2 linked regions of the Styela clava genome follow. The protein of the gene in region 1 binds, or shares a complex with, the protein of each later gene. Links are inferred from orthologs where the notes say so. Each region holds a gene or a part of one and is shown on either strand. Other genes may lie near its edges.

What was found.
Region 2: telomerase Cajal body protein 1-like (region 1) and H/ACA ribonucleoprotein complex subunit 3-like share a complex: the UniProt entries of both Homo sapiens proteins name them as parts of the telomerase holoenzyme complex. The link is inferred for Styela clava from reciprocal best matches to the Homo sapiens genes WRAP53 and NOP10.

What each region holds. Positions count from the first base shown.
Region 1 is NC_135264.1:10,543,870-10,561,033, reverse strand, and holds telomerase Cajal body protein 1-like, read left to right. Parts: upstream 1-10,337; 5' UTR 10,338-10,433; coding exon 10,434-11,263; intron 11,264-11,806; coding exon 11,807-12,509; 3' UTR 12,510-12,559; downstream 12,560-17,164. Other genes in the region: uncharacterized protein LOC120333624, read right to left, coding at 14,437-14,575, 15,066-15,173, 15,386-15,530, 16,132-16,263, 16,475-16,617. UniProt on the Homo sapiens protein: RNA chaperone that plays a key role in telomere maintenance and RNA localization to Cajal bodies. Specifically recognizes and binds the Cajal body box (CAB box) present in both small Cajal body RNAs (scaRNAs) and telomerase RNA template component (TERC).
Region 2 is NC_135263.1:5,479,891-5,496,132, reverse strand, and holds H/ACA ribonucleoprotein complex subunit 3-like, read right to left. Parts: upstream 6,544-16,242; 5' UTR 6,427-6,543; coding exon 6,232-6,426; 3' UTR 5,517-6,231; downstream 1-5,516. Other genes in the region: transducin beta-like protein 3, read right to left, coding at 117-223, 798-998, 1,242-1,397, 2,078-2,414, 3,032-3,203, 4,039-4,231, 5,012-5,159, 5,403-5,443; uncharacterized protein LOC120341376, read right to left, coding at 8,895-9,070, 9,696-9,829, 10,285-10,487, 11,033-11,096, 12,108-12,237, 13,287-13,556, 14,608-14,714, 15,285-15,372 and 1 more. UniProt on the Homo sapiens protein: Required for ribosome biogenesis and telomere maintenance. Part of the H/ACA small nucleolar ribonucleoprotein (H/ACA snoRNP) complex, which catalyzes pseudouridylation of rRNA.

The sequences.
Region 1 (17,164 bases):
GAGGGAGGTGGTTCAATTTCCGCGCAACATTCGCGATTAAAAAACGGATGACGAGATTTCTGTTGCGTAAAATATTCAATCCATGACCGATGCGAGCATTTAAAGTGTCTCGTCGTTATAATGTACTTGTGCTCATCTTTACTCAACTTTGATTCGAGATTACTATTAGGATTACTAAAATGAAAGAATACTATTCTAATAACATAAAATATGTGATAAACTGCCAACTGTAAATAAATTGGAGTCGTATATTTGCGATCTTGGGATTTGTCAAACTTGATTTGTTCTTCCGCACTTAAGATTATTATTAAGCAAGATATCGCCGTTCAAAAAATCACAATGTCTGGACAAAATACGAACAATTGAAATTTATTTTATTGCATTCGGCTCCGTCGGTAGTTTCAGAATGAAAAAAGGTACATCACGGATCGCGCGCACAATTGATTGCGTGCGGCTCCGTCGGCAGTTTCAAAATGGGTAAAAAAGGTACATCGCACGCACAATTGACGATTTCGCAGTTACTACGATGAAAATTTAACATAACAGCAAATTTTGTGATTTACTATGTCTATAAAAGCGTTTTCAATCTGAGGTGAGTCTGCTGAAACCAAACATGTGATCTTCCATTTTAAGTTTTAATATTTTGGAATGCCGCTTTTCAATCAAGAAATTTGAGTTGCGGATCTACCTCTTCATTAATTATTATTTTCAGCAGTTCGTTGCCGATGACTATAAAATGGTAACATATTTTTCACATTGAACTCATAATTCCCCACGAGAACAAAAAAGCAATTAACGTCGTCCGTCATTGTGTAACAATACATTTATATATATGCCGAGGGAAATTTTTTTTAGGGAGAATAAACACCGGCGTAAAGATTGTAGGTTCAAATACACGCCGCCATGCTGAGGAAAAAATCGGCGATTGTAACAAAATGCAATCGCGCACATTATTAGCGGCCTTTTAAGTCTTCCAAAAATGTCAAAAGATTCGAACCCGAATTTATTAGTATGTTTGTCAAGTGTCAAATTTACAGCTTTAGTATATATAATTTATGTTTGAAATTTAGATATATTTATGACTTGTATTAACTCTATTAAAAAAGGTTCAGCATTTAAATTGAGTAAAGTACTTTTAACTTGCTCAAGAATATTAATCTGAAAGTAACAATTTTAACATTTATTTTGGGGCTCCGTGAATAATAGTCCACAATTTCAAGGGCTCCGCGACACCAAAAGTTTGAGAACCCCTGGCCTATAGGTCTAAATTGATCACCTGATTCTATTGCGCACTCAAATGAGTCTTTAACGTTATTGCGATCGTGAAATAGATATGCATGATATAAAAATGTAAACTGGTATAAAACTATTTCCTCGCAATTTGTTAACAATTTATATCACAGTTTTACACTAAAACGTTTTTGTTTAAGGCATAAAGTTCTTTGTGAATTACAAGATCGAAGTAATAATGGCTATCAAGTAATCAGTTTCCAAGTACAGAACTGCAATTGGTAAGTTATTTTTTCTAATGGGTTAGTTGATTGATAAAAAGTTATGAAATGTTCTTGCAGTGTAGCCGTATTACGTAAACGGGAAATTTTATCAGGATTGCAAGTGTTTCGTATTTTCTACAAATTAACGCGTTGGCATTTATTACTATCTAATTTCCAAATCTTTTCGACGATCACTGGTTTTCTTTACGACCAGCAAGTCAGTTTTACCAGTCGAAATAAGTTTACACTGCAATATAATAACGTGTACTAAAACGCTTATTCATCTTAAAGGGATATTTCGAATATAACCTGATCGAAAGAGCGAAAAAATATTGACAGCTGAATGAGCACTTTTTCGCGGACAGAACTACAAATGGTGAGATCCTGTATTTCTGCTTCATGTGGAATTAATACAACTGATCCCTTTTAAGAAATACATTTAGTACAGAAAATATGGTACTTTGTTCCAAGTCGATAGTTTGTATTTATTTCACATGAATTCGTGCTGCCGTAATTTCCACTGAAAACAACAGATATATTATGTTATACAAGGTTCTATACCGTGGCTCTTCTCACTAAGTAATTGATTCCCGATATTTTACGGAATTATAGCTAGCCAGGACAATGGATATTTTGTTTGGAGGACGGGGTGTGCGGAGAATTCGAAACCTAATCAAAATCGTACTACACCAATGCTACTAAAAGTAGGTTCCTATGATCTTACAGTGTAAATTCAAATCGTACTACACCAATGCTACTAAAAGTAGGTTCCTATGATCTTACAGTGTAAATTCAAATCGTACTACACCAATGCTACTAAAAGTAGGTTCCGATGATCTTACAGTGTAAATTCAATCCTTGCGTTTACGTTTTTTTTCTTTATCAATAATGTCCAATAAGACCGTGACCGTCTCAAATTCAGAACAAGTTGCCTTGAACAAACTCCGTATAACGTAACTAAGCGTAACTAAATCGAAATGACCAGACCCCGTTATTCTGTTCATCGTAAATCCACCTGTACTATTTATCCATTGAACTTGTAAGATATGAGTTTCATTTTATTCTTATTTCAGATACCGATGAAGAAAAAAATGAACGAACCTTGGTGACGGAAGAAGCTGTTGCTCCTTTTTGCGAATACGAGAGTGTTTTGTATCGTAATTAATGAAGAATACGAATTTTGCTAGTTTAACGATGTTTTGCACTTTTTTTAAATTAAATCTAATAGCGCCTATTCGAAGTATGTTTCGACATTCTCCTTCTTAAATGAAAACTCTCACCCAAATTCGTCTATTTATTATGACCCCCCAACATAACATTCGCCCATTATGCGTCACTAGCACCAAACTTTCCGTTTTACATTTTTATCATGAACAGCAAATGTTGAGAATTAAACAAAAAATAATTTAAAAACGAAAGTAAATTTTGAAAGTTGAGCAAAAATTCAGATGAACTTTGACCTCCCCTTCCCCTTGTGTGTCGTTGATATAAGCATTGGTTTGATACTAACATAGTGTCACCACATCTGATTCAGACCTTTCTTTTTCAAATTAATAACATCGCCAGTGTTTATTTGAAATTTTGTCATAAACTAATAAAATGCTGCATTAATCCATGTCAAATGGATGATTATTTCTTTTAATATTATTTTAGTATTTAAATTCCTACATCTGAATAATTGCTTCCTTCTAATTATCTATATTTTAATATTGGAACTTTTCATGATTACTACGTGTTTCGCTGTGGTATCTTAATTTCATCAGTTTTTTTCTTTATTGCTTGATTTCTGAAATCTTGGAAGTTTTATTTATTGGAGCAATAAATTGTTTTCGAAATCTTATAAGGTTATAAAATTCTGTTGATAAGATCAGGGAGACGGAAAAAAAAGTACGCAGAAGGTTACGGAGCCGGGTTCCCTGGAGCGGGTAGGGTGCGAGCGGAGCAGCCGGGGCCAAGGAGCGGGCCATTTTTTTTTTTTTGAAATTTGGTCGTAAATATTTTATGTTCGGCCATATATGGGCCAATGATAAAGGCGTTATTTTATGGTAAAATTATCTTTGGCCACACTTAATCGGTGATAATTTTTGAAATTTTGGTATTTTCAAGGGTTTGTTTGACCTAGGAATTTATCCGATTTCTGCCATTTTCGGTCCACAAGGTCTGTTACTTATGTATGAAGTTTTTCACGACCTGACTGGACAACGGAAAGATTATCAAAAATCGAGATGGACTAAGTCCGTCTTCCAGCTTGATTGTCTTGCCAAGTCGACCACGCCTATTGATAGATAAGTATTAGAGTTAAATTAGATAAAACTCAATACTTATATGGTGTAGTGGTAAAAGGGGCTACAGGTCGTTTTTGAGTCCAAAGTTCGAATCCGACGCTGACTCTTAAAATATCTCTCAAACTCAATCTTCAAATAAGCACACATGATGATATAAAAGTGACGTCAGGAGGGGCTAATTCCGATGAAAATGACAGGAATCAAGAAAAATCCTAGGTCTGACCCTTAAAAATATCAAAATCCGAGAAATTATCATCGATTAAGTGTGGCCATAGATAATTTTCGGGACGAAAATTAATTATCATTGGCCAAGTGTGGCCACAGATAATTTTAACGTCAAAATGCCTTATTATCATTGGGCCATACATAGCCGAACATAATAATTTATCTTTGGCCATAGATAAATTTTTTAGAAATATTTTTTGGCCGCGCTACCCCGTCCCGCCCGCGCACCCAGCGATCAAAAGACCCTACAGGTCTCATTGTCTGTCGCTTGTTAAGCTAGCTAAACTCACTTTCTGCCCACATTTTATGAAGCTTTGAAAAGTTGTGGCTTATAAAAGTTTATTTCTTTGAAGTGCAAGATAAATCAAAAAAAAACAACAAGACGAAGTTCAAGGTCATCAAGATAACACTTTCATCAAATAGCGAGAAAAAATTAATACAGAATATATATAAATCGGCGAGGAATGAAAAAAATTTATATCAATAAATCGAACAAATATAGATGAATTTTAGCGCACACTTCCACAATCATAGTCTCTAAAATGTTTTCAAATACATGCAGTTGTTTATTTTTTCACATACTTTACATCGAGCAGGGGTGATATGTATATAAAACATGAACATTTCGAGCTAAACCGGAGCTTCACGAATACAGACAAAACTCCTTGATATTAATCTCTGGACGATTAGGATAACTATTTGACTGGACACCCTCATCTCAGAATCAATTATCAATAAAAACGTATCAACTAGGTTCTCATAATTGCAACCGAAAACTTTACGTAAAGGGCTGTTATCGAAACCGCTTTAGTCGTAAGAATTGTAAAAAAATTGGAAAAAAAGGACATCTCATTTTGCAGAGTTCTTATAAAGCTATCGGCACGATTAGAATTATTGATAATTTATCTGCTTATATTTATTTTAATACATTTATTCCAATAATATTGGGTTATAATGGTGCAAAACAACTGTTTTCCGTACTGTAATGACTTAAATTGCTTCAGATATATAACGTGTCATAAAATCGAATTTTTTTGAAATTGCAAAGAAAATTTATCATTACCATTTTATTGTTTTGGCCCTCAACAGATGTATTAAACGAGATAAAAATATCTGAACAAATTACTGATTAAAATAACAAACCTGGTTAAGATATATTGAGAACTTACTTTATAAAGAAGTTGTAAATGGACTATTCGGACACCTTTTATCAGACTTAGTTCAAATCGATAAATTTGGAAAGCAAGTCAGTTGGGACAAAAGATGCTATACAAAATCGTATTAAAAATACTGCGAGAGAAAATTTCTACATGACATAAAAATTCGTTAACGGGCATATTTCTCAGTCTTCCATATTAAAATACATTACAATAGGAGAGTTTAACGATTCGCATTACACCAGACCCTAAACATTGTATCTGGAGATCTCGAAGCAACATTCTCTTTGTCACCAAGGTCGTACCGTTCATATCCTGAAAAATGAGGATTAGTTATTAGATATGAATCGATAAATTTGCATGTCATTCTTCATAATTATAGATGAACTGGGCAGGCAAGATCAACTTTGCAGCCAAGGGCAACGTTCGTCGATCTTGTCCGATATTATTTGGCTCAAGTTATTGTGACAAAAAGTCATAAACGGGCAACTTTTTCACACATCTCTATTTGAGTGATGAAATATAGGACATCAATTTATTCGGAATTTATATTCATTTTTACAATAAAAACAATGTTATTGCTTAATTATGCATTTTTTTATTATTGTAGAAACTAGTTTTGTTTTGGGCATAACCCATAACTAAATTTCTACACGAATTAATTTCAAAGTTTTGAATAATAACTAAATTTTTACTTTTAGTAATACTGTTCTGAATGTTGTAGATGTGATCAAGTTATGATCAAAATTCGTCACATTTCTACATTCCGTCTCATCACATCAGAAAAAAAAATAAGGTAAATTAAATTTCCGAAATACTTGGTAATTTGACTTACTGTAGAATATGGCGTACTTAGTAGCTCCAAAATTAAAAATTTGGTGACTGGCGGTAGTGAAGGAAAGCAAGTGGTACCAGAATAGCTTAAATTCTAAACGAGGAAAAATTAATATTGTTGTAACTTATAGAACTCATAGAACTTATAGAATAGAATTTATACAACTTTATTGGGAACTGAGTATCATATTTTGCTATTCAGTGTATAATTGAGGAAAGAGATCGTGGGTATTAAGGAATTGTGAACCAGAAAATAAACAGCAACCATAATAATTAGAGTTTGTCGTCTCACCGCAGTAAAACCTTTAAAATTAATTCTATAACGTCATTCAGCTGAGTGTGACCAAGAACTTAATAAACATCCAACCATAGTCGAAAAATACAACTCACCAATTGCAACAGGTAAATTAAATTACCATAATTTCTTCATTTTTCAATTCATACTGCAATCCCGATGTGCCTGAAATAGGAAAAATCACCAAACAACGTGACTATGGAATTTTTTGACATTTTTAGTAGAGCGCTTCAATTTAAAGCACTGTGCTTCACTGTTATGTGTGTAGGATCTTGATAGATAATTTTAGTTGAATTACGTCGAAAAAGTTTTTAAACCGCCATACCTTCTCTCTCCTGTTCTTGATATCGGGCGGTCGGTCTCTGCCTCAAATGAAGCAAAATCTTCGATCGCCGTCCTTTGTCGGGTGCAATTCAAAATTTACATTTTGCTATGTTCTAACTGTAAAATTAACAACTCTATTCCTAAGTTTAGTCTACGTTAGTACATCTGTAAAAATAAATTGAAAATTTGCGGCAAGGAAATGAAAACCCTAATATACGAAGTTCACAAAGAAACATAAAAACATGGCGTTGAATTTGACAAGACTGCTTGCTTTTTATATGTAAACATGGTTTGCGTTGATACCATCCTACTACCATTTACACAAGTGACCGTATTACCATACGAGGATACACAACAAGCTAGAAGCGAAAGCAGGGGCATTAAGTACATTCGAACCACGTTACATCTAATACTTTTGACAACAAAATTCATATACCAACTATTGTATATCATTCGCTGACTACTGCAGACTCGTGCATTATCGTATATAAGATAACAGTTACCTTACCAATTCTTAATCGCATCCCTTCGCTTCTGAGTTCGACAATTTCAGAACTTGGTAATTCAATACCACTTCGCAGACATTTGAATCAACAATTTTATGTCTAGTCTTAGGCTTAACTGCAATAGTATAGTTGTGATGATTTTCAAAATAAAAATAAAACACAAAGAAAACGCTGTAATATAAGATGGGATCGATACACGAATAAAGAATTGGAACGAAAAAATTTCGAAAAGAATGTTTTAACCCAAACAATTTAAAAAACGTCAGAAAAATATTACAGGCAAAATAGCTCTAGAACTCGGCAAGGCCGTATTTCCGTTAAGAAAAAAATCGTCTTTTCTATTCCATTTCCACACCACTAGTTCTGGATGTCACAATTCGAAGCCTGAAAAGTAAAAACGTGTTTGGTATATTCCAACAATTGGTATTCCAAAGGTAGTTTACTTACACATCGGTTCCCGTTATCTTGATTTGGTTGGGCCTTCCGTAAAGTCTTTATTGCGAAATTTCTCACCAACAATCATTGTAGTATACTATGTTATGGCCTAACTGAACGAATAATTCTTAATCTAGCTTGTCGGTCATTGGATCTTCGTTTTGTTTCAGCAATTTCTCCTTCGGATTTCGTGGAAAATTAAACCAATAATTATAGGCATAGGTTAACTGCATTAGTGTATATCACTGTGAAAGAACGCCAATAATAGTCCGTTAGCGAAATAATGATACGTGGCAAGAATATTGAACAAACGTGGACAAGCAGACCTGACACCTGACGACGTCAAATCCGAAAAGACCTCGGCGCGCTCAAACATTACGTGCCAAGAAAAACATTAAATTGAATATAATAAAGAAACAAAAATTGCTGAAGAGACCACAAAAATTGAACATGAAACAACACCCTCAATTTTATGAATAAAATTCCTGAAAATTATTAGAGACGATTTCAACTCGAACGGGTTTCGAATACGAGACGAGATCAACGTTCAGGTTACTTTGGCATGCGTTTTTCGTTTTCTGGTCTACTCGCAATAGGTTATGTTGCACATTCAAGGTGACTATATTGTCATTATGCGCATTTAAGGTTACTGTATTGTCGTCAACTTATGAAATTTAAAAATTCTTGGACAGAGACGTAGTTCCATTGGTTTTCGGTTTTAGTACTATTTTGATTTAGAATGCTTGAATAAAAACTAGAATCCTTATTCTCATTTCAGCACTTAGTGGCGAATTACAGTATATGATTCTTTGTCTCTACAACTATTAACATGACGAATATAAGAATTTGTCTTCAAATTTGGAGAATCAAAAATGGAGATTTAGTATGACATGCACATTTGTGCAATTGTTTCGTCATAATGAATTATCATTGTTACCGCATGACTATTGTGACGTCATAAAGGCAAAAGAACCTTGGCGAAGTATTTTCGAGTTTTTGCATCTCGGATTCTAGCTTAGCGCGTATTAATTTGAATTTATACTACAGTATAGGAAGGCGTGCACTTGTGATATACACTGTCCGAGACCGATTCACCTTGGTTGGCTTTAATATTGGGTGCATTGCTGTTTTATTCTTTATATTTCATCTTAGTCTTATTTCGGTGGGTGTGCGGAACATGTTATATTGATGAAATATATATTTTTAAACATAAAAAATAATGTAATTGAAACTGATTAGCTATTTAGGGGATTAGACATTGTAGATACTGAGAATTACATTCGTTTTTGGAATGTTCAGTTTTCAGGACTGGTGCATATAAGTAAAGTTGCAAAATTGCGTGTGTCCCCAAGTCACAGTGCGCCATTACGACGTCACTTAACTGCGTCATACAAATTAACCTAAATTCGGCTACGATAAAAAAAATTGAACCATGGAAAATTATTGACTCTCAAAATGGCATAACAGTATCATTAGGAAGTTTTTAACGTTTTTCTCAAAACCGCTAAAAATGACTCACGCAATTCGGTTATTAGCGTGACGATATGTAAAACAAAAACTGAATTAACTGACTGCTTGAGCTAGATTCATATAATCGCGTAAATATTATTTTTGAAATACCATGCTCTTCCCCCCTTCTGAATCAACAACATGGGCATTCTATTCTATTTATTATTTAATCAGGGCTGCATAAGCCGTGGTCAGCGGGTCGTATGCGTATTTCATAGATTATACAAACAAAACAAGCAATAATAATGACATAGATCTTATCTCACGAAACTAACCAAGCGCGGCATATCATGAAGATTCGATTGCTGCTAGTGAAAACAAAAGTATCTTAAACAAAACGTAAACAAATAATGAAAACAACAAAGATGCTCACCCGGCAGCGACAATTTTGAAAAGACCTTGGCGATCGGTCATATCGTACACGTGTCAAGAAAAAAGCTCGGTTATAATAAAGAAAGAAATGGAGAGCAGAGGACTGTAAAGCATTGAGCGGCGATTGGTTCGCGAGATATTGCATCGCGCATCAACATTCGAGAAACATAGGAGCTGTGAGACGATGCTACCTTGTCGTCAAAATAGGTAGACATAAATATACATATATATATACTCAATTCAACACAAGTCAAACCAGTAACTGGGTATGTCGGGAGTGTTGTTCCACAGGACAATAATGCAATAATACTCTTTTGCTTTTATTATCATAAAATTTTATAATTTCCTATGATGGATAGCTCTTCCGTTTTTCTATTGCATATAATTTAATTATTTAATTTAAACAGGACCGTCCGCTAATCATGCATTGAAACAAAATTGACATTTGTTGCAACCCTAATAAAAGAAAACCCTAATATTTTCCACATGATATGACGCCGAGCAAATTCAATCAAAGAAACAGAGCTGTTTTATAATATTAAATATTACGCGTATCAGATTGGCCATAATTTGCAATGTTATCAAATTTTTTAGGAAATATAACTAAGATATATAATATTCTTCATCTCACAAATATTCTATTAACATGACTCGCTCATCTAGGACTATGGCCATTGTTCCAGATATTTGTCCAGTTGATCCATATGCCTTGCCTACAGCCCAGTAGACGTAGTAAATTTGGATGTGAGTTTTGATTAAAATTTATTGCAAAGTACGGCAAAAAAAAATAATTTATTTAATTATTAAACGAAAATAGAATGATACATTACAAATATGACAAAGCCACCGGAGTCGACTCCGATATGTCGGTTATTAACAAGGGGAATTCCCATTTTATAAGTATGGAATTCTAATAAAAGCGCCGGCACGCTTGTATTCCGTATTCCATGTGATATAAATATTAAAACAAGAGAGTTTCATATTCTGTTTCTTTAAAAATGGAGCACAATACAACAGAGGTAATTGAAAATGCAGTTTTAACAACGCCAACAGTAGAGGAAAACCGTAAAAAAGCGGAATCCAACTTCGAAAATTCAGAAACTGCAAACATCGAAATTGCAGATATGGAACAAGAATATGAGGACATTGGAAATAATATTGAAACACAAGAATCAGTACCAACAAGTCAAACGCCATCACTTAATCCTGAAACAGAAAAAATGACCACAGGACCCAATGTTATGGACACATCTTTAGTAGTTGAGAAAGAGGAGAAAAATAACACAGAAATCGATCTTTCTACTGCTAAAAATGAGTTACTACAATCGTTTGATACACTGGAGACCACCAATATTTCTGTAGTACCATCCACAATTGGTGAAAAAGTAGTTGCACAGTCGCTTGAAACAACACTTCTTGCATCTTTCGAACTGGGAAAGGGAAATTTTTTTAAAGGATGCAAATGGGCACCAGATGGATTATGTTTAATGACTAATAGTGATGATAATATAATACGACTTTACAACACTCCAATGGAAATTTTATCTAAAAATTGGGATAAATCACCTTTCAAGATCGAAGTTTGTTTAAAGCTGAAGGAGGCCGAAACTATATACGATTACACTTGGTGGCCTCGAATGAACTCTATATATCCTGAGACGTGTTGCTTAGCAACAACTGCAAAAGATCAACCAATTCATCTCTGGGATGCTTTTAATGGTGATTTACGAGCGAGCTATATTGCAAAAAATAGCGTTGATGAAATTACCGCTGCACATTCAATTGCTTTTAGCCCTGATGGTTTACAAATGATATGCGGATTTACAAAGTTAGTACCGCAATTTTACATAATTTGTATACAATCCCAAAAATTTTTCTTCAAGAGATTTTTTGTGTGCGATATATCTATAGCCTACTTCACTATCAAGCCTACATATTGTTTACTTTGATTTGGCTCCGCGGTGTGGCGCATCGTGCTTAGCATTAGGAATATGCTCGCCACTGCACTTCTGATTACCTCACGTGGGTTCGCAGGTTCATGAGCGAGAGGATTGCTGGATCGCCGTCATAGGGTGGTTCACATAACCGCTGGTAGGTTACGGCTTCCCCTTGACATCAAGTCCATGCTTCCCAAACCCACGAGAGACCGTGGTTGGACATATGATTTAGCCGTCTAATCACTTTCCTCTCCCCCGGGATAAATATGTAAATCCTATTCTTTAATACGTAATTTCAAACGAGTGTCTGCTCACTAAAACTTCCAACTTTCACAACATTATTTAGCTAGTATTGATCTACATTTACATTTATTCTACTATTCCCTATTATACATTCCTATGAACAAACAGAGCATCTGATTTTTATATTCCAGAGAACTCCGGTTATTCTACATTGATCGTCCAGGAGACCAATGTGAAAAATATCCGACAAGAAAACACAAGCGAGCATCAGGACAACGAGGAATTATATCAACATCAGAATTTCATCCAGATGGTTCCTCCATTGCTTGCGGTTCTTACGACGGCACCGTTGCGCTATACAGCTCTAAAAATGGAGAACTAATAAGCATATTTAATGCAAAAAACAAAGGCATAACACAAGTGAAATTTTCACCAGATGGAAATCGGCTGTATACTGGTTCACGTAAGGACAATGCAATCGTTTGTTGGGATGTCAGATTTCTTAACGGAGATTTATTTCATTTGGAGCGAACTGTCGATACAAACCAAAGGGTATATTTTGATTTGGTATCGGGAGTTTTAAGCGAAGAAATATTGTCAGAAAATACAGTGATATCTGGTGGTACAGACGGCTTTATATCATTCTGGGATGCTAAATCTGCGCTGGAATTTGATCTTTCACACACCACCATAAAACAACCCTTTTACAAATTCAAATCGGATAGAGATTGTACTAATGGGGTTCATGTTCACCCATATTTGCCCGTTCTTGCTACAAGCTCGGGACAGAGACACTACGGTGAATTTTCAGATAGTGAAAGCGAGGATGAATCTATTGAAATTGAAGAGAATATGTTAAAACTTTGGCATGTTGCTGGATTGTGCGATAAATAAATTTGATAAACTTCATTTCACAGTAAATATGAAATTTATTTAAAAACTTATGATGCATGATGTGTGGTAAAGGTGGTAGAAACACAGAACTAACCCTGAGTTAATGAAAAGTCCCTCCGATCCCATATGCTGGATGGGACCATTACAGCTGCAATGCGATACGAGATGAAAGGGGTATTACACTACCAGTTATTTCCATTATATAATTAATATAGACTTGGGATGAAAGAAGAGAGTATACAGGGATATATATATATGTACCTGTCTTTTTTTTAGATTCAAAATTCACAACATTTGTCGACGGAAGGAGTTTTAATTAGTTGTCCAACCCTGGCTAAAAGTGTACCCTAATTGAGGACTCCTGTTTTTGTTCATAGAATACGATTTAAAAACGATAATAATTTTGCAAAATTGGTAAAAAAATCAACTATATAATGCTTTTCCATAGATTCAGATGAAACGATGTAACATGAATAAAAATATAAGTGTATGATATCATATGAATATTCAACACGAGTCAACACCATCCTATCATAAGTTGTCAAAAGAACTCAAATTATCTATAAAAAACTATTATTAAATACTTGGAGATTTGCATCACTAGATAAAACAAAAATCAGTTTACTTGATCTTAATTGAACTAAATTAATTTGTCTATGTCAAAAAAAAAATTCAATAATTTTTAGTTACCATATACCCTGAGAAAATTTTAAATCAATGTCAGTAATAAATCTACCACTAACTAATGAGTGCGCCATTGTTGTACTAATACTGTGTACTATACAGATTTAACCATTTTTGCAATTGCGCAATTAAAAGTAATAATAAAATAATCAATAAAAATCACAGAATTCACCAAAAATACAAATAAAAAACCATGCTTGATGAAACTAAAAAATTTGATTTATTTAAATAGAAAATAAGTTGAGCACAGAAAAGCTAAATGAATGATACAAAACCTGTATTCATAATTAGATAATATACAAATTTAATACAAAATAATATACTGGGTATTAAGATAAATCAAAGTTGTTTTTTAGTTAGAGTTATATTAGATGATTTATGTCAGTATATTGGACGTAAGGATATATGTGATTTCAAAAAAGACGGAAATAACATATACAGACAGCGTTCACCCGAAAATAAGACCTAACCTAAATTTTAAATATGATTTTAATATAATCCCTCCACTTAAAATAAGACTTAGTCCATTTTTTTTTGACCGACTCGATAGCAAATATCTCCGCGTTTTAAATGAAAACATGTTATTTATAAGTAAGTGGATATTGGTTTCCATATTTTGTATATTTGTAAATCTTGTAATTATTTACTTTATAATTTTGATAAATGACATCTTCCAAAATAGCACCAGTGCACTGTTATTTTTCGAAAGAAAATTGAAATAAGGTCCTGTCTTATTTTCGGGGAAACCTGGTAGTTACACTAGACACCAAGCATTTTTATGTTTGTGGGTATGTTGTGTAATGTACTATATTTAAAAACTCAAATGGAAGCGTTCAGGTAATAAAAAAGTTCAAAAAATTTCATTAATTTATAAAAACGATGGGTATAAAAATTAGTAAAACATATCATTTTTATTGTCATATCAAGGCATATTGAAGAAATATTAAACAAAAGTTTAATTATGATATCTATAGAATTGCCAACACATCCACAACTTATTATGTTGCAAATAAAATCATAGTTATATTCATAAATTTCGAAAAAAAAAAAATTTCGAATATACCCGCGAGAAAATAGGGTGCATAATACTGGAACTAAAAAAATGTTCGAAAATCAAGATTTACACTTGTACTAAAATTTGTTCAAAATCACGAATTACGCAACAACAATTAACCAGTAATTTCAACATTATCAAATTCATTGAAAGAAACCTTTTCAGAAAAAATAGAACATATAAATTGATTTAGTCAGATTTTTTCAGTAACCCGATTTCTTCCGATAAGACTTTAGTAACATGCATTGCTTGTTCGGCTTCGTCTCCACCAATTTGATTAATAGCGATTTGTGCAGCTTCTCTTACCGATGATATTGTGTCATTTCGCCTGTAAGATATTTGATATTTTTCTCAAAATAGAACATAGAATTTAATAATTTCCCAATGGATTCCAGGAAAAAAAACTTGATGTTATTGCTGGTAACTCATGATATTCACAGATTATATATCTGTATGTAAGTTAGGGTTCTGTTCAAACAATTTATAAATGGACCTCTGGACTGTGTAGCTAAATTCTTGTGGTTATTGTCGACAAAAATCATGTTTCTCTGCTACTAAAGGATCAATTGATTTTAAAATTTCACTATCTAAAAATTTATTTTTTCAAATTTTCTTTGAGTGCCAAGAGCTCTAATATTTCATCGAGACTTTGCGTGATATATAAAAAGGGATCAGTTATTATTCCACCACGATAGACTGCCTAATGCTATAGGAACTTTACTGAATGTCATATGAAGATGTTCCTGTGAATTATAAAAACCATAATAAGAACAACAATTTAGTAGTTTTTTTTTTGTATCTAGTAAAATTGTTCTTACCATAACTGGACAAGTTTTGAAATTGACTTTTTACTTTTCAATCTTCCCAATGCAAGACATCCACTCTCTCGTACTAATCTATCTTTGTGATCCAAACATAACAGAAGCCTGAAACATATAATGTTACATATATTTGACAGTTTGCATAATGACAAGTAGGAACTATTTACCAGTTTTTGACCAAAAAATTTCTAATATTTAACTAGTTCAACAGTAACACAACATATTAATGAAATTGCTAAATGAAATTCAGACAAATTTTTGATTTGCCTCAATATTCGACCTCGCGCCTCTTCAGATGCACAATGTGATTGACTTACCCAATTTCAGCTCTCTTTTTAAACATTTTGATTCCACTAGCAGCATGAGCAAGAGATATAGCTGCAACTACAGTGATATCAGGATCTTCTTCACCTTCCAGTAAATCCAACAATGAGTCAATCACTGCTTTGGATTGGTACTTTCCTGAAATAAAAAAATGATTTTTAATTATTAATAAAAAGCTGAGTTGGACAGATTGTTACGCAACTGGAACATTGCAGATAAATTTTACAACTATACAATATGAATATATACAGTGATACCTCGGTAGTCGAACGACTTGATACTCGGACAATTCGGTAGTTGACCAAAAAATTATTACTCAAAAGATGTTATGTTCGATTACAGAGGTATCGCTTTAATTATAAAAAACAATATATTTTACAAAAAAATTTAACATCGTTTTGATTATAGTATTCTCCCATCTCCCATCTATTGATTAATTATAAAATAAAGTAAATTTATAATTCAAAATTCACAAGCCTTATAAAAATTAGCAAAATCCAACTCAATTAAATCCTAAAAATTTCTTTTGCATACAGCTTTAATTTAAATTTTTTTAAACATAATTTCTTCAGACATCCTCATGGTTGAGTTTTCGAATGTATTTGAAGGGAAGATGAAAACTGGTCAGACCAACCAGATCTGGTTATCGGGACCAGTATGGGATGGAAACCAATTTTGTACCAACTATAGAGCAATTTATTCTTGAACATGATATATTTTGTGACGAGCCCATACTCACTCAGATTTGCGATTGCAGACAATCTAACACTAGAGTTGACATTGAAGACTTCTTTCATTGCATATGTTTCCGCTGCATATAGTCGAATCGCTTGTGACAGAGGAAGAGTTTCTCTGTCTCTCGTGCAAAATCCTACAAAAATATGGTGTATTAAAGCAACAGTACACCAACAATCCACATAATGATAACAAGATGGGATAGAACAGTGAAGTTGATGGACCTAATAGAAAAGCTGTAACGAAATTTCCGATTCCAGAATGAGGAATTATACAAGAAATATCAGAATTAAAATCTGCACATTTGCGAGTCTGTCTATTCTAGTTGAAATAACCAGTTATCTAACTTTTAAATTCTTTGAAATTAAGAACGTTTTTCTTGACTGCCATTTCTTTGCTCATAAGATGAAGTAACAATTGTTTCTGTTGTTCAGTCACCAACATCTGTTTCCATACTTCTGCATATGTGGTGTCGACCGCTTGCGAAAATCTAGACAAAAACAAATTGATTAGTGGCGAACCTAGAATATTTGAGTATATTTAAACAATATACATATATTATAGATATATACTCTTGTTTTCCGCAGAGCTTCCATTGAAAACCGCTGGTCTTTAGCACATATTTTCCTGCATAGGATAAACCTCCAAGGAATTAAAAAAAGGTCAGCTTTTATAAAAATTCTTTTTTGGCAGCGGTATTTTAATAGTCTAACAACAAAAATAATTTTATATTACAAACTTAAATTTTTGTATGGATAAATTTTCAGTTTGATTAGCGAGTTTAATTTAGAGAAATTTCATGATTATTCACTTCTTCGGAATATATGAGTACTTACGAAACATTCTTCTATTAGCATAGGAAGTGTTTATGCCAAATAAAAACTACTTCCCGAACATAATACAATATTAAATCTTAGCAAATGCATAACTTATCTTTGGATCATACTTGATTTAGTATAATATACCATCATATTCTTTTAAAAATTATGGGCTTGTCAACAATCTATTGTGTGATTATAACGGATAGATTGTATGAC
Region 2 (16,242 bases), on another chromosome or scaffold:
AGACTCCAACTCCAACCAGTAGATGAGGTGAAAGCCTATCTTGTTGGTTGTTAATAACAGAATTTCCCATTGCCTTTAGTGTCAGGCTTAAACACCACAGCAAGTTTATTTCCTACCTTGAACAAGCGACTGTGTTGACAGCATGAGCATGTCCTCTTCCTACTGCAATACAGGTTGTTTTAAAAGTTTCTGGATTCATCCTCCACAAACGGATTGAGTTGTCCTGAAAAAATCATTGATAACTGAAAAATACAAGCATTAGGGATAACATTTGTTTGGATTTCATAATGTTGACAAGATGTATGTGAAAGTGTTGATGAACCAATGCTGGCACCTAGTGGTACAATGACACATTGTTAAAGATACACACTGTGAAACTAAACTAACTTCGTATTTTGAAAACGCGATAATCTGCAAAACGTATTTTGTAGCAAGCAACTAACTTATCATAACTGATATATATTCCGTTAAGTTTTATTTAACAAAGTTGTATTACACACCTCCTAATAATGAAAAAAAATATCTGGCCATAATTTGAATTTAATTCTGATAATTTAATCCTAAATGGAGTCTACCCAAAACGTTATCATAAAACCCATGCGAGAGAAGCTTTGGCTCCTAATATAACTGCCATGTTCTTTGGGTCTCTTATTTAATTTTAGTTCCGACAGATACCGTATATATAAATTTTCCATTAAGTTGACATATCCAGACAAAATGAGGAATGTTCGTCAAATCCAAAAACTGTTCAAAATTTTTCACTACATCTCAGAGCATCTATACATATAATCTTGTACCTTTGATCCGCTTGCAAGGATCAAACCATCTTTAAACACATCAAGGCATAGAACAGTGTCTCGATGTCCAGATAGTAGTTGGCAAGAAGATGTTTTTCGATCGAAAACTTTTACAAGAGGACTGTTAGTTGCAACGACAATATGACTGTCTGATGGACCAAAGAACCGAACATCTAAAACTTCATCGTTATAACCAACGAGCTAAAGAAGAATAGTAGCAAAAATCAGTAGTTTCTTGTAAATTAGTACGAATTTTCCTTTTGATCGATGGCTTAAAAAAAAATGTTTGAGTGATATTCTTATAAAATACTTAAAAAATATCATCAAGAATATTTGCAGAGCTAGTGCTATATAGTTTTAACAGAAGGCATCTCAGTTTGGCTCTAATTAATGCTCAACTATTATATTGAACCTGTCTAAAACATCTCTACTCAACAGACTTACATGTCTATCTTCAACAAAACCGTCATCGTAATTAAAAATGTTGATATTATGATCGAAAGTCACGGTTGCATATTTTTCAATATTTTCAAGATAAAGAAGATCAACAATGGCTCCATGTTCTGAGTCTGATTTAGTCTCTTCTGTTTCAGTTAAACGCTAAAAACAGAGTATGCGAAGTTAGGAGCAAGAAAGGGCACAAAGATATAATATACTTAAATGCATGGCCACCTGAGCATATACACATTACTATAACTGCTTGTGCAGGGCCACAAAGTAAAAGGCCTGTCTATATCTTCACATCGTTCGGAAAAATTTCGAAGCCGATAGATTATTTGAATAGTTTTGAAATTTAAATTCTTGATTTTACGAATAATTCAGGAAAGGGCTATTTTTATTTGAAAAAATTTCATTTCGATCAATTGATATCTCAGAGTTCGACCCAGAAGCTCTTGATTCAATTTCTGAACAATGTTAAAATAAAAAAGCACTTCTAAATCACTGAATCTCAACATTTCTGAACTTCAAGGACAAATTCAAATAAAACATTCGCAATACTATCTGGTATTTGTAGCTTATTGTTAGCTAGTTATTTTTAAGGTGTGGCGCGAGACTCGATCAATTCTAAAAAGGGAAGGGCCTCAACAAAAAAGGTTTGAGAACCAATGTTTTAGAATGTATTCAGAATAGGCCTAGTAGATCAATTGGCTTGGAGAGAAGGGTAGATAGAGGTAGAAGACAGATAAAATATTATTAATTGAACAATAAATATGCTTATTAAACGCTACACTTAGAACTACTATCCAACCCAGAGGTATCACCTTGAATTACATATTTACCTTTTGTGTGTATATACATTTCCCGGTTGATAAATTCCAAACTCTCAAATTTCCACTACTTCCAGCAGTTAAAACATGCGAAGATTCATCGGAAATTGCAGTCTTTATAAGTTTAGTAATATGTTGGTTTGGCAAAACTAATAATCCTTCAATAGTCTCATATACAGGGATTGTTTTATTTGGTTCGACAGTGTTTTTGTCTTTACATTGCGACAAGTCCCAGACACACAACACACTGTCTCTTCCTCCACTTATTAAAGATATTTGAGATTCAGTTTTTGTAATGAATGAAAGTGATGTAACTGCACTAACATGTCCATTCAGCATACAAATGCATCTGAAAACAGAGAACTAGTTAATAAAAACTGAAACATGAAAATTAAGAATAAGTGCAATCTTTGGCAATGTTGCCATATCAGATGAAATATCTCGGGATAACCCTCTGCGCACCACATCATGCAGAACTGGAGAGATTTCCAGCTTTTTAAAAAAAAAATTACATTTATATCAATGGAAGCTTGTTCAGAGCGTTATTCATAGCGAACGATGTGAAAGTATAATACGATGCTGTAATTCTTCTACTGTAAAGTCTCAGTAGCTTCTGTACCAGTGGTCGTACCAACTTCTCTAGTCGACGGGCCAGATGTTAGAAAATGAAGTTCCCAGCAGGCCGGATTATAACATGAATAGTATTCAATATCTTAATCACATATTTATTAACTAATGCAAGAAAGAAAATTATAAATCGTGTTTAAATTGAAAATTAAACTAGAAAAAAATAGAGACCAAAAAACTCATAATGAATTTATCATAATGTACTAAAAGTGTAATAATGTAATATCATAATGTACTGATGTACAGTCAGCGGGCTGGTCAAAATCTCGTCGCGGCCCATGCCCACCCCTGCACAAGACTCATCAAACAAAGTATCACCAAATGAATAAAAGATCATACCTGCTCGTGTGTAGATTCCATATTCTAATAACATAATCATTAGACGCAGAAAACAATTGTAAATCGTGTGGATGGAATTTCACAACTGATATTACACCTTGGGATCCTCTCAGATTATGAGTGCAATACTGATGCAACATATCCCATATTTTAATGGTACTATCACTGCTTCCTAAATAATGAATAAGAGAATAGCTAATTACATGTTGATATTTAGATATTTCAGTAGATTTAGATTCAGAGTATGTGGATAAAGGTGCAGCGTGAAAACGTACATAGTGTGGACAAAAATATTATCCAAACATAAAACCATTATTAATCAAGCCAAACTCACACTCATGTATAAAGCGAATTTTGTGATTAGGATTGCACAAAATAAATCTAATTTCAGATTGCATTTGAAATGTGCTTCATCCATCGCTTTGACCAATTGAATTTAGGAAATTGCCAATTTGTGCATTTCAGTTTTAAATTCGTTCTCCATTTTTTTTGAATTCAAAAATATTTCAACTTCTCATTAAACTGATGAATTTGATTTTGATAAAGTTTGCCAATGTAAAATTTACTTTGCAAAACTTCTTTCAAGTAGAGAGCAAACTATATATTGCATTGCTAAATTTCCTTTGAAATGTAAACGAGAATATCGGTAGGAGACCGAAGACTTATCAATCGAAACTACGGTTTCGATTCATGACTCTATAGTGACACCGTGTGTCCCATCACTAATTAATTAATAACTCGCTAATTTTATGACATAATTCATCCAAAATCAATAGGCTTCTGGTCCGAGATATGATGAATGCTAATGCAAAATTTGGAGCAGATTCAACCACGCATTCGTGAGATATCGTGTGCGTCTAACAGACAAACAGACAGACAGAAAAACAGACAAATAGGTATCAACATGCTTACCGATCTAAAGATCGATAAGTAACAATTTTGGGAGTTTTTTATGAGCTGTATTATCAAATCTTTTTATTTGACTACAATTACTTCTGTGCTCATACCTGTGGCAAGGAGTGTAGATGTCGCATCAAAATCCATGCACAGAATTGGTGAAGTATGAATTGCTTTCCATGTTCTCACACATTTTGCCACCTCATTCTCAATTTTCCATTCTTTCAGTAACAAAGATCTTGTGGCAGAAACAATGATGTTATTATCTGGACTAGATAAAATACAAGTGACATCATCTCCCTCCTGGTAAAAAACATAAAAATTTGAAAAATAGAAAAGCAGATTAAAACCAAGTCTATAGCAGTCAGTGGAGTCGGATTTAGGGGGGCAGAGTCCAATATGGATAACCCATTAGTCGCGGATCAGAATTTTCAAACTTTCAATGGCGATAAAAGAAGAAGTTTTCAAAGTAACTAAAACAGTGTTATCAAATGGGGCCTATAAAAGACAGCTTGTGTATACAAAGGCTTCCATATAAAATTTGATATTCTCGGAGTTTGGATTAGCTAAAAATTCACACCCAGCCCCGACTCCAAACGACGAGATATTGAAAAATGACTCCCGAAATGACAAATCATTTGAATCCAACTTTAGCCACATATTAGAAGAAATTTCAACTCTCCAGCTTCGAACTTAATTTTGTTAAAAGACACAATGCCGTACACGTTCCTTCTTAAAGTGCCCATTGAGACTGCTTAGTTAACTCAATGCAATTTGAGTTTTCCTAAAAATTTGTATCTCAATTATCATCATTAATAAGGGTCTAAAATGGGACTTGGACTCAAAAAAATTAGAATGTCAACTCATGTTCAATATCAAGAAAAATAAATAAGATGAACTCAAACTCCACAGATCTGGGTATGATAGTGATTATGAATTTGCTTGTTCACAATGATATAGGATTAATCATCATTCAGAAACCTGTCGAGTTTTTTCAGTTCGACCTCTCCAACATTATATTGCTGAAACAATGATAGTCTTTCATTTTTATTCATATTTAAATTGAACAAAAATCACCCCAACCTGAGACAAACTGTGTTTTACTTCTCCAGTTTCAATATTAATGACTTTGACAGAATCTCCACATGAACATAACAATGTTTTACCATCATTATGACAAACTACTGATCCTCCAGTGTAAAATGGCTCCCATTTATGCTTCACTGCAAAGCTAAAAAATAACAGAACAATTTAGTTATTAGAAAGTAGGAAATGAATAATGACATCGCGGGTTACACATTTCGGGTTCATATACCATGCCCACCACCTAACCCAAGGTGCAATAGATTGGGTGGGCAAGCAAAACTAGAAAGAGAACAATCTTTAAACACCTAAATTATGGACCATTAGTTGATAATAAAGTACAATTTTGCATGTTTTAAATCATTTTTTAAATAAGAGGAAAAAAACTTACTTTGTTTTGAGAAGCAGTTTTCCAGACAACTTTGAGTCCATTTTCAATGTCAGACACAAAAATCAAAATACAGGATAGGAAATTGATTCGCAATATTAAATAGATTTGAATGTGTCTATGGAAAAATGCATTCAGAAGATTATATGATTGAAATTTCAAGTAGTTAGCACATTACACCACTCTACACAAACAGCATGCTCATTGGTGCGAGTAGGCCTATAAGTCACAAATAAAAATAATTCCGAAAGAAAGATGGTCAGCCATTATTCACCACTTTACAAATCAATAAAGTACAAAAGATATTCAGTTAAACTCAAAGAATTGATCTCGTAGTTTCCATACACAAGTGGCTTGTCTAGAAATCTTTTCTGAATGAAAAATATCCAGCATTAACCCAGCATATGTTGTAAGCAAATATTTAATGAAAGGTGAATAAAAATGCTGCAATATCTGAATATATAATCACACAAATAAAGCAACAATTAAAATCTACTAAATTAAACACAAATTGGGAAGCCGAAAAAATGGCATTACTGGGGTTTAAAAGCATTGTGATAAAGAAGGGATATTTGATCTATCAATAAAACACACCACATGGTTATAGTGAAACATCCTTTTTCAGTGTTTGAGTGAAACTTTGAATATTAAAAGATTATAATTTCCGTTTCTGTGATGGTAAGTCAGCAAGACACATTGACAAGTAAAGTTCATTCTGATTTCTCAACACTGTAACATGCACACATAAAGCTTTTTGGTTGTCCCGATAAAAGTAGTGAAATTGTTAGTTGAGCTTTTACTATCCTACATATTCCGTTTTAAAAATGTTCTTTCACATCGCAGGCTTTGGTTGTTGGGTTAATAATAGTCCGAAACGTCTCTTGCAGGCGATTCTTTGTTTCGAAAACTTGTCATCTGGAGAAAACCTTGCCGGATGAGCAGACTGGGTTGGCGAACCATCAGGAGCGACCTTTTTCATGGTGTAAACTCGTTTACCATTATCGTCCAAATAATATTGCAGAAACATCTTTCTATTCACGGTAAAACGATAATGCTGAAAGATTGATTTCGGTAGCTTGAATGAACAGACAATAATCAGCAGAGCAAATTTTCAACAAGTCAAAGGGAATTTCCCCACAGCACACACGTGTTTTATGTCTCTGTCACTAGTAGACGCTGTTGCAAATTTTTGAGTCCGGCCCGGTTGCCGGTATCGGGCCTGCGCTACCAGTTGGGTAAATCAACTTATTTAGTTGAAACCAAAAAGCATAAAATGATAAATATTATAGGGCTATGCTGTTAAAAATACGATAGAATCAAACGGGAAATTTGAAGATCCAATCATAGCCGAGTAACGGCAAACCAAAATGTTCATTTATTCGACTCTAACTTTTTATATGTAAATACGTTTTGTTTTGTTTTCTGGTTGGCGTGTTTGGAGAAGGCCCTCTCTTCACGTTAATATTTTCATAAAGTTATAATCCTTTTTTCAATTGCCACTACAACTCAATATTTTCGTACGCTTTTAATCACTATTGCTGTATTCTCATCTCAACTCTCCGCTCAACCATTAATGATGGAACGATACTATTTTTACTCACTCTGGGATTTAGATTTCGTGAAAACACTTGGCATGCGCAGCCCACGGAACAGGGGTTGAAACCTGTGCGTTTGGGCGATTATAATCTCGGTATCAAGGACAATAAAAAATTTTTGGACGAATGACGGTCACTCGACTTTGAAGTCCCATTTTGTCGTGAGAGACAAGTGAAAATAGAGAACTAGCTTGGAGACAGCGTGTCCATGACTGGCACAGTTCTAGAAAAATTCGCCGTAGGAAATCTCGCCGCAAGAGCGTTTTGCTGTAAAACAAGTATTTGTGATAAAAAGTTAGGTTTTTGAAGTACTTTTTCATTTAAAAAAAATTGCTAAGGGCATGCCCTAACCCTATAAACCTGACCGTTTTTATCCCAAATACTTGTTTAACAGCAAAATGCTCTTGCGGCGAATTTTCCGGACACGGTATAGCCCACCTCTTCATGCGTCCAACCAATGAGAATATATACATCTTCCTTGATCCACAACAACGGTCAGCTTGACCACAGAAAGATTTTTCTATACATCTCACTCCTGTTAACTAATCTAATCTGGCAATCTTTACAAAATTATTGATGTGGTGTGGCAAATTTCTTTCTTTATTCGTATTTTTTTCCCCTTTCACCAAGTAATATATATATATATAGTTTTTTCTCTTTCAACTTTATTGTATCTCCGACACCGTGATTGTATATACGCGTGCACGTATTAATAATTAATTTAATGCTTTTGGGTTAGTGAACGCGCACCTCTCCTCTTGACAACACCTTTCAATCCATACGTTTTAAACCTAAAGGTTTTGTTTGCTCTCCCGATTCTGTTTATTCTGTTCTTATCAATTATTTCATCGTCTGTAATGTAGTCAAAATAAAGTTTTACTTATGAGTGGCACCAGTCACGTCTCACCAATCAGTAAAATGACATTCCGATATTCTGTACACAAATGGGATATTTCATCTAGCTCTAAGTTCCAACAGATAAACAATCTTACTCTCTCTGCGTCATTATAGAGATATCCCATATTTCTTACAGATAACGTTTTTGTGTGACCATGGGAAATTAAGCAATACGTTATCAAATTTTCATTCAAAAATTTGGCATTTGGTTTATTTTTTCAATATAAAAAAGACAGCGGGTTGTTTATTACAGCAATTACGAAACAAAACAAAAATTAAATGATGGCAACGATCTGTTAGACCCATATCAAACAATGTGATAATTATATTTTTGAAACAGAGATATGAGATTCACTGCACAAGCACCAGTAAGACATTCCAATGCACCACATTTGCATTGATTTAAAATCATATTTTTGTATTAAAAACATTTCCAGAACAACTCCATTGTTATATTTAAATGCATTTCAACTTCAAATCAAACTATTTCATTTATAACATTGACCGTCATTAAAATAAGCAAGAATTTAACAAATTTGAAATGGTTGAGTACAGAACCAGCAGTGAATAAAATATTGCACGATTTGGCAGAACAAGAACAATGGCTTTGATGATTTTACACAAAAACTGTATGAATAATTTACCTAATAATGATTGAACAAAACTGTTAAATAAATCTATTTCTGAGGACCAGAAGAAAACATATATATTTCAGATCAACTTGTATCGATTTGCAACATTTCTAAACCCTAAAATGCAGTTCGAAATGAAGTCTTTTGAGTCGTATTTTTGCAACTTGACTATGTCAGGTAAGTCAGATAATTTCAACTCGAAATAGAGTTAAATAGGATTAGCTTCGCAACATTGATAAAGCCTTAAACACCTTTACTATCATTCATTAATTCCTATTATTGAATTGAATTAATTAATGAATTAATTGGATAGTTACAGGTTTTACGTATTTTTACCAAACTCGTAGAAAATGAAAATTATTAAAAGTTGATCAAGTAAACCTAGAATATTGAGAATGACCAATAAAAGGTAATTTTTTATTGTTTATAAGACACTGGATGACCCATTCTATTGACACGACAGGAATCTTGAGTTTCTCCGCTCTTTCCATGATACTTTGATCACATGATGAATCAGCAACCACAACGTCACACGATAGAGAACAATCTGTAAAAAACATGAGAGATTTTATAAAACACTTAATTTGGTGTTATCAGTGACTAAAAAGAGCAGAAGCGTTGTGAATAACAAATAGGGAGAAAGAATGATTCGATTATGTTACTGGGTTCATTTACCAGAGGTGCGAAAACTGTGCAATGGGGGTGCGAGAATGCTGGGCCATTAAGTTTAGCTGAGAAATAAAGATAACACAGTGACAATGACAGCAAAAATGCATTGAACCTTCTGCCTCCCTGTAAAGACATGTCTTGCAGTAATTTACTGACTGGTTATAGATAAGGGCCCGAGCATCTGAAACAAATAACTGGTTAACTGGGCAATTTTTTAGGGTTGGACTATTGAGGTTTGGCGCTAGATGCTTTCAAGTCACTTCTTTCCGATTTTTTTTTATTTGCTGCTGCGTTGGTTTTTTAAAATTCCCAAGCAACCCAACAAAAGATTGTGGTTTGTCATTTGATAAGATTAACTCTCCCCGGGATAAATAAAAAAAATCGTAAGTTCTAATAGGACTGATGAGCTATTGCCATTGGAACCTAAATTGCCAGAGCATTGAAATCAATCAAACTTTTTGACTCGATTTGAACAATATTTAATTTTAATGCTTTTATCATACCAGTTTTCAATTTATCCTTCCTTGTTGAAACTGATATACAACCAGCAATGCACAGTAAAGGATTCCATGTTGCTAGATCTCTCATATGTAAACTGACACGAATACCAGACAGTGGTTGGATTGGAGATATTGGTCTAGAAAAGTTATGATTTAAATATAAATATTGGAATTTGGGCTGGGATACACTTCAGTGAAACACTTTCAAAAACGATAGAAAAATATGTGCAATTCTTATCATGCGAATACACATTAGAAAAGGGAATAATACTTGGAATGACAGAACTTGCAACCGTTAACCATCTGATAACAGTTAATCTAATTATGGTTACCGGTAATCCTAATTGGAATTCATCACCGAAAAGACAATTGTTGACTTAAAACAATGCTCCAAAAGTTTAAACATTGGGAGGCGCCCTCAGCTTAATTTACTATTCTAGATTACTTACATTGAATCAAGAATACCAAATCTTCAAATATCAATATTCTATTTTAAATTACAGTTTGATTCGATGGTGAGGAAGAACGTTAATGAAATTGAGGTTGAACTTTAACTAAAACATTGTTTACAACTCCTAAATTTATCCATTACCTTTCCACAATCCCCATATGTTGCAAACTGTATCCAGCGGGCAAAACATAGGATTTTATTGCTTTTAATCTCCCAGCATTTGTTGAATCATTGATCCAGATATAAGATATGCATTGGATTCCCGCAGCTAGTGCGTTGAAATAATTCATTGTTCGACAAAAATTATCTGATACGACGTAAAGCTCACTTCGATCACATGACATCTGTGAACAAAATAATATATCACAAATGACAACACAAGAGTTTTTTCAAGATATTCAGAATATGCTCAATTCGATAACTATTTGGTACTCCCGTAGTATGTGTACCAGCTGCCACGTTAGGGCAAAATGCTTATCCGATTTTTCTTATTTTAGTTATATTATGAGTTTGGGGACTGTTTGTGTTAGCCAAGTGAATATACCCCCTGCCCATAGGTTTCAGTCCCTTTACACAACTTGATGTAAAGTAGGCGACCAAAATTAGTTACCTCCATATTGGTACACACACTTCTAAGCGCCAACTATTCTTCTTTTTATTTAGCACATACCTGACAACCGGGTGAGAAAAAGATATTTAAAAACTCAAGTATATTGTTTAATAACTATAGATTCAACAAAAATCAAAAGCTATTTTGGAATTCTAATCCAACCCCAACTTCCTGTTACCAATAAATGCAGGCAGTCAAGTTGACTAGACAAGTATTAATTATCAGGCCTAAGTTTTGTCGACATAATTACACAGAGACAGAGCATATAAATCAGTTTACCAACTGCGTGAAATCCTTGACAACAACACCATCCCCAGCATTGATTTGTTTCTTCAACACTTCCCTGCGTAAAAGATTGAAATAAAAGTTGTTCACATCCAAACAAATATAAAATCAACTATCATCTCTCAATATATGGTCTTGTATCCACTTAGCCCCCTGTACAGAGCATGTAAACTGATATGAAACTCATGAGTGTCAGTATAGTCTAATTGAGCACACAGCAACAAAAAAGCTCCAAAGCGGTCAATTAGACTTTTGGCTGCGCAGATGATCACGACAGATAGTGACAATGGGCAAGCAAAAATGCTTCGGTTAGTGAAGAACCGTGAGAGTTACGATCCTGTAACTTCAGGGAAAACAGAAAAATATTGCCATGCTATGTACAATGTAAGTGAGGAAAATTAATAACTTCCAATACCTGTGGCCTTCTTTCAAAGAGTTCCAAAGAGTTTTCAATAGTGATATTTATAGCATATTTAACAATAAGAAGCCAATTTTTTTAATTAATTTAGTCATGGAGAACGATAGCTAGTGAAGGGCTTGTCCGTGTCTCACTAGGGGGGCCGAGGGCCCAATTTGAGAAACCCTGCTCTAAATTGCAATATCTTCAAAAATAATTACCAAGTGTTGCTGGTTCAATTTTATCAAAATCATGCAAACTGATCTTCACTAGTTCATCAGTTCCAAAAGGAAACAATTTTTGAATGTAAAGTTTTGGTAAACTACCTTAATCATGGTTTATTACAAGAATGTGCAAACTACTGCCCGTCAACGAATTTATGCACCCCCCCCCCCCTGCTCTTGGAAAAGGGTTGTGAACATTTTCAAAACTACATACAAAACTTGGATTTATTTTTTAACTTCATTTAAATTATCTAAACTATGATTTGTTAAGTAATATTAATGTTCAACAATGCAAGCCACAACTGTATTCGACAATATCATAGCGAATAGAATTAATAACTGTGACATTACAATCAATTTCTCAATGCAGCCCTTTGCCAAGAATATTTTCTGATGAACCCCGCCCTTCGCAAAAAAAAATTGCCCGCCCTGGTTTATAATATATTACCTGTCATATCCATAAATATTGGTGCAAGGAGGTGAATCAAACTCGGATGATGGATGATCTTTTCCTGTTGTTGAAGTCAGTAAAAATCCACATTTCTCAAATAGTTTGCTTTCTTTGTATGTCATGGATGCTAAGAAAACAACATTTATTTATTTAATCTATTTTTTCGAAGTGATTCAAAACTCAACTGTAAGTACCGGAAAAAAAATAATTAGCGCACATTGCAGCCAAATATATACAAATCAGTCAGATTTATAAAATTTAAAACTTCTGTAAATCCTTTTTCCAAACAGCAAATAAACCAACATTTCATGGTAATTTACCATTTATTCAACTATAGGCATTCACTTATTTATGATTCAAGTTGAAAATATCTGAATAGAGCAAAGTTATGAAGAAAGTACTTTTGTAACATAGGCAACACCTCACTCAGGGTGTTATAACTAGGGTAGGCAGGGCCAAACAGAAAAGATTACAGTCCTTCTAAATATAGATAATCCAAATAATTGTTTTTTTGTGCGGCATGACGCCTAGTTCACCTAAAAAAATAATGAAATATGTCAGTCATTATTAGAGATGGGCAATTTAGAATACCAAATCCGGAGGATCCGAATCCCAAAGTATTGAATTCCCAATGTTTAGGACATTTTCAATTGATACCGAAGAAAGTAATGCGTTTACAATTTTGCTTTAATTTCCAATCCAGCAATGTGGTGGGGAATTCCCGCTATTCAAATAACTATAAAAACAGAATACGATTCGGTATTTTAGATTTGATTTAAGTATTCTAGAATAGTAAATTATTCTACATTGCCCATCCCTACTCATTACTTATCGATCTTGATCGGTAAGTATGTTGATAGGTATTTGTCTGTTTGTTTGTTTGTCTGTCTGTCTGTTAGATACACGCGATATCTCTCAAAATCGAGGTTGAATCTGCTCCAAATTATGCATGTGCATTCATCATATGTCGGACCAGAAGCCTATTGATTTTGGATGAATTATGTCGTATAATTAGCGAGTTATTGATTAATTAGTGATGGGACACACGGTGTCACTATGGAGTAAGAGCAAATGAATCGAAACCGCAGTTTCTCGTTATTGTTTTATGATATCGCATAATTCACAGTATTACAAAATGGTTGATTCATCTGAAAATATTTTCACATTTGACCTCACCTTTAGATGGTGTATTCGAAGATTTTCGTTTTGCTGGAGTTCTTGGACTCCCGTAACTAAGTTTCCCTCGTTTTGATTTCTTAGTTGTTGGGAAAGGTACACAGGAAGATGACTCAGAAGATTCTGAATCTGCTCGACGTTTTCTTGAGGATCGAGGAGTTTTAGAAGTCGTGGAAGATGGCGTCCCTGGTCTGGATGCGGCAGGGCTGCTCACAGCAGAATCAGCTGCTCTTGACCGACGTGTACGTCTCTTACCATCCATGATGTTATCTGTTTGAAAAAATTAAATTCAGTGATTTTTAGAACTAAAAGAATACACACTGTAAAGTGGGCAAAATTTTTAACAGATCTTAGCTTAGATTAGTGCTCCCCAACCTTTCTACCCTGGCAGACCAGAAAAATCAAATAAAATGTTCTCTCAAACCAGCAAAAATTTTGAAATGGCTGAAACGAAAAAATATATTAACCAAGTAGTCTGTAACTAGGTGCCAGGCTCAAAATCATGCTGTGAAATTACTCTGCGCCAAGACGTCATAGGGCCATTAATAATACCACACTTATCAAACAGCAATATGACGGTAGAAGAGAAATTGCCTAATAAAACAACGCAACTTTGGTAAAACGATTGAGACAGCAGAAAAACAACAAAACTTATCATGGACCGGCAAAGAAGCTTCTCGGACCGGCATCGGTCCGCAGACCAGCGGTTGGAAACCGCTCTTTTAGATACGGAAGAAGTTGGCTAAGCTTTTTTAATTAATATCCAACATAATTATCCTCTTTTCACTTCTGCTATGCCATCATACTTGATTCTATCTAATGTTTTAACCACTGCGTGTCAATAGCTGCATTTTTAATTCATTTATATTTATCATGCTGATAGGAGTCGAAAGGAAAAGACTCGAAATCTAATCTCTTACCCATATTCTATTTTGCATTAATTATCCTGCCTGTCATTCAAATAATTTTTGAATACTGTTTAAAAGGCGGTTGGTGCATTGTGTCAATCGTTAGGAATAAGCTTGCCATTATACCTCTGATTAACCTTCTTAGGTTCAAGGAACCCGGCAAGAATAATTATGTGCGAGAGGTTTGCTGGACTTTTCGCCATCATAGGGTGGTTTACATAACCAAACCATAGGTCGAGTAAGACTCCATTCACCATTAAGTCCACTCATCGGAAACAAACAGCTGGCTAACTATTATGGATACATGAGAGGACATGGTTTGCCACATTATAATACCATCTTATTGACTTTCCTCTCCCTCAGAATAAATATGAAAATCCCATCTTATTACCAAATCAATAATGGCATCATACCCAAACTAACATCTGCTGTAGTAAGACCAGATGCAGGCTGCAGCTTCAATAACTTCAAATCGTTTGACAAGTTTTCAAGTTTTACAATAACTTGTTTCCTTGTGTACCTGCAAATTGGAAATAAAAGCAATGATGGAAAATAAAATTGACAAAAAATCTCTTTTCTACAGATAAATTAATATAAAGAGTCACAGTCTAAAAATGGCAGTGCAGCAGGTGTTCATAAAGTTTCAAAAATTTCCAAATTCTGTCATGCAGTCTGTTCTCAATATATCTTAACCAGTTTTTTTTTTTATTTCAATCAATGCTCATTTACTTGAGCTCTTTTACTTCCTTTAATACACTTTTTAGGACCACAACTAGTTACATGTACATGAAGTAAATGTCTTTTTACCTAATTTAATACAGGACTTCGTGAACATCCTATTATGCCAATTCTTTATAATTGCGCGAAAATTATATAAAAGTTTTATCTCACGAATAATAGGTAGGATAGGATGAGATTTACATATTTAAGATAGGATTCACAGAAAAGTTAACTTAATCATAATATGGCGAACCACGACCTCTTGTCCGGTTACCAGTCCATGTCGAGTATGGGATTAGTTAGCCAGTTATTTGTTTTCGGAGCATGGACTTATCCAGTTATTGAACTCTTCGATAACTGTAATACCAACCTTTTAGTCTTATTATTTCCGGCTGCAGGTTTAGTTATGACATATCCTCGTTTATCATCATCATCTCTCCAGTAACTCACTATTGTGCCTGAAATATAAATATTGATATGATAAATGTACAAGTAACTGTACAATTTACTATTCCAAGTACACGAGAAGATTGTTGAATATGGAATAAATTGGGTCATATTGAACAGACAATTTTACATAACTGTTGTAAAAATTATGTTGGCAATGCAGTACGCTCAAGATAAAGATTGTTTTTATTGATATTATTTCACAGTGTGGCAAATAAAATTGTGTTCATTTTTTGTTCGAATGTCCAATGCCGAAGATGACAAATTTCCAAAGGAAGTAATTACTAACATCAGGAATATCTGAATTCCGAATGTACTGTTATCATTCTGAACATTCCTGAAAAGGCAGATATCACAAATTTCAACTCATCAATTGTAATCGTAATCACCTGCACTGTACCACCAATCAGCAGAATCATCCGAGTCACTCTGAGCATAAACTTCTTGCCCAACAGGCAACATATCGATTAATAAAATATCAGTTTCTCGTATTTGTCTGTCTCGTCCATCATCTTCAAAATACACAGTGTATTTCCCAGATTCAGAATCTTTTGTTTGCAACAGACCAGGGTAATAGTAGCACTCCCTAGCTGGTCGAGCAAGGACAGGTATACCTAAAAAAGGATAAATGAGGTAATAAAGTATTATGCGTCCGGACCTCCTGAAGTATGCGCGCCAAGATGGCGGACAACCTGAACTCAGGCTGTGTAGCATGTTATGGTTCAGGTTGTGCGACATCTTAGTGTGCATACTTGAGGAGTACCATACGGACATTAAAACTTAATTGGCCAATTCAATAGGCCATTGAAACATTGACTATCAAGTGCGCATAGTAAGTTCACTGTGAAAGTGGCCTATTGCTTCAAGAATTGCTCGGAAAA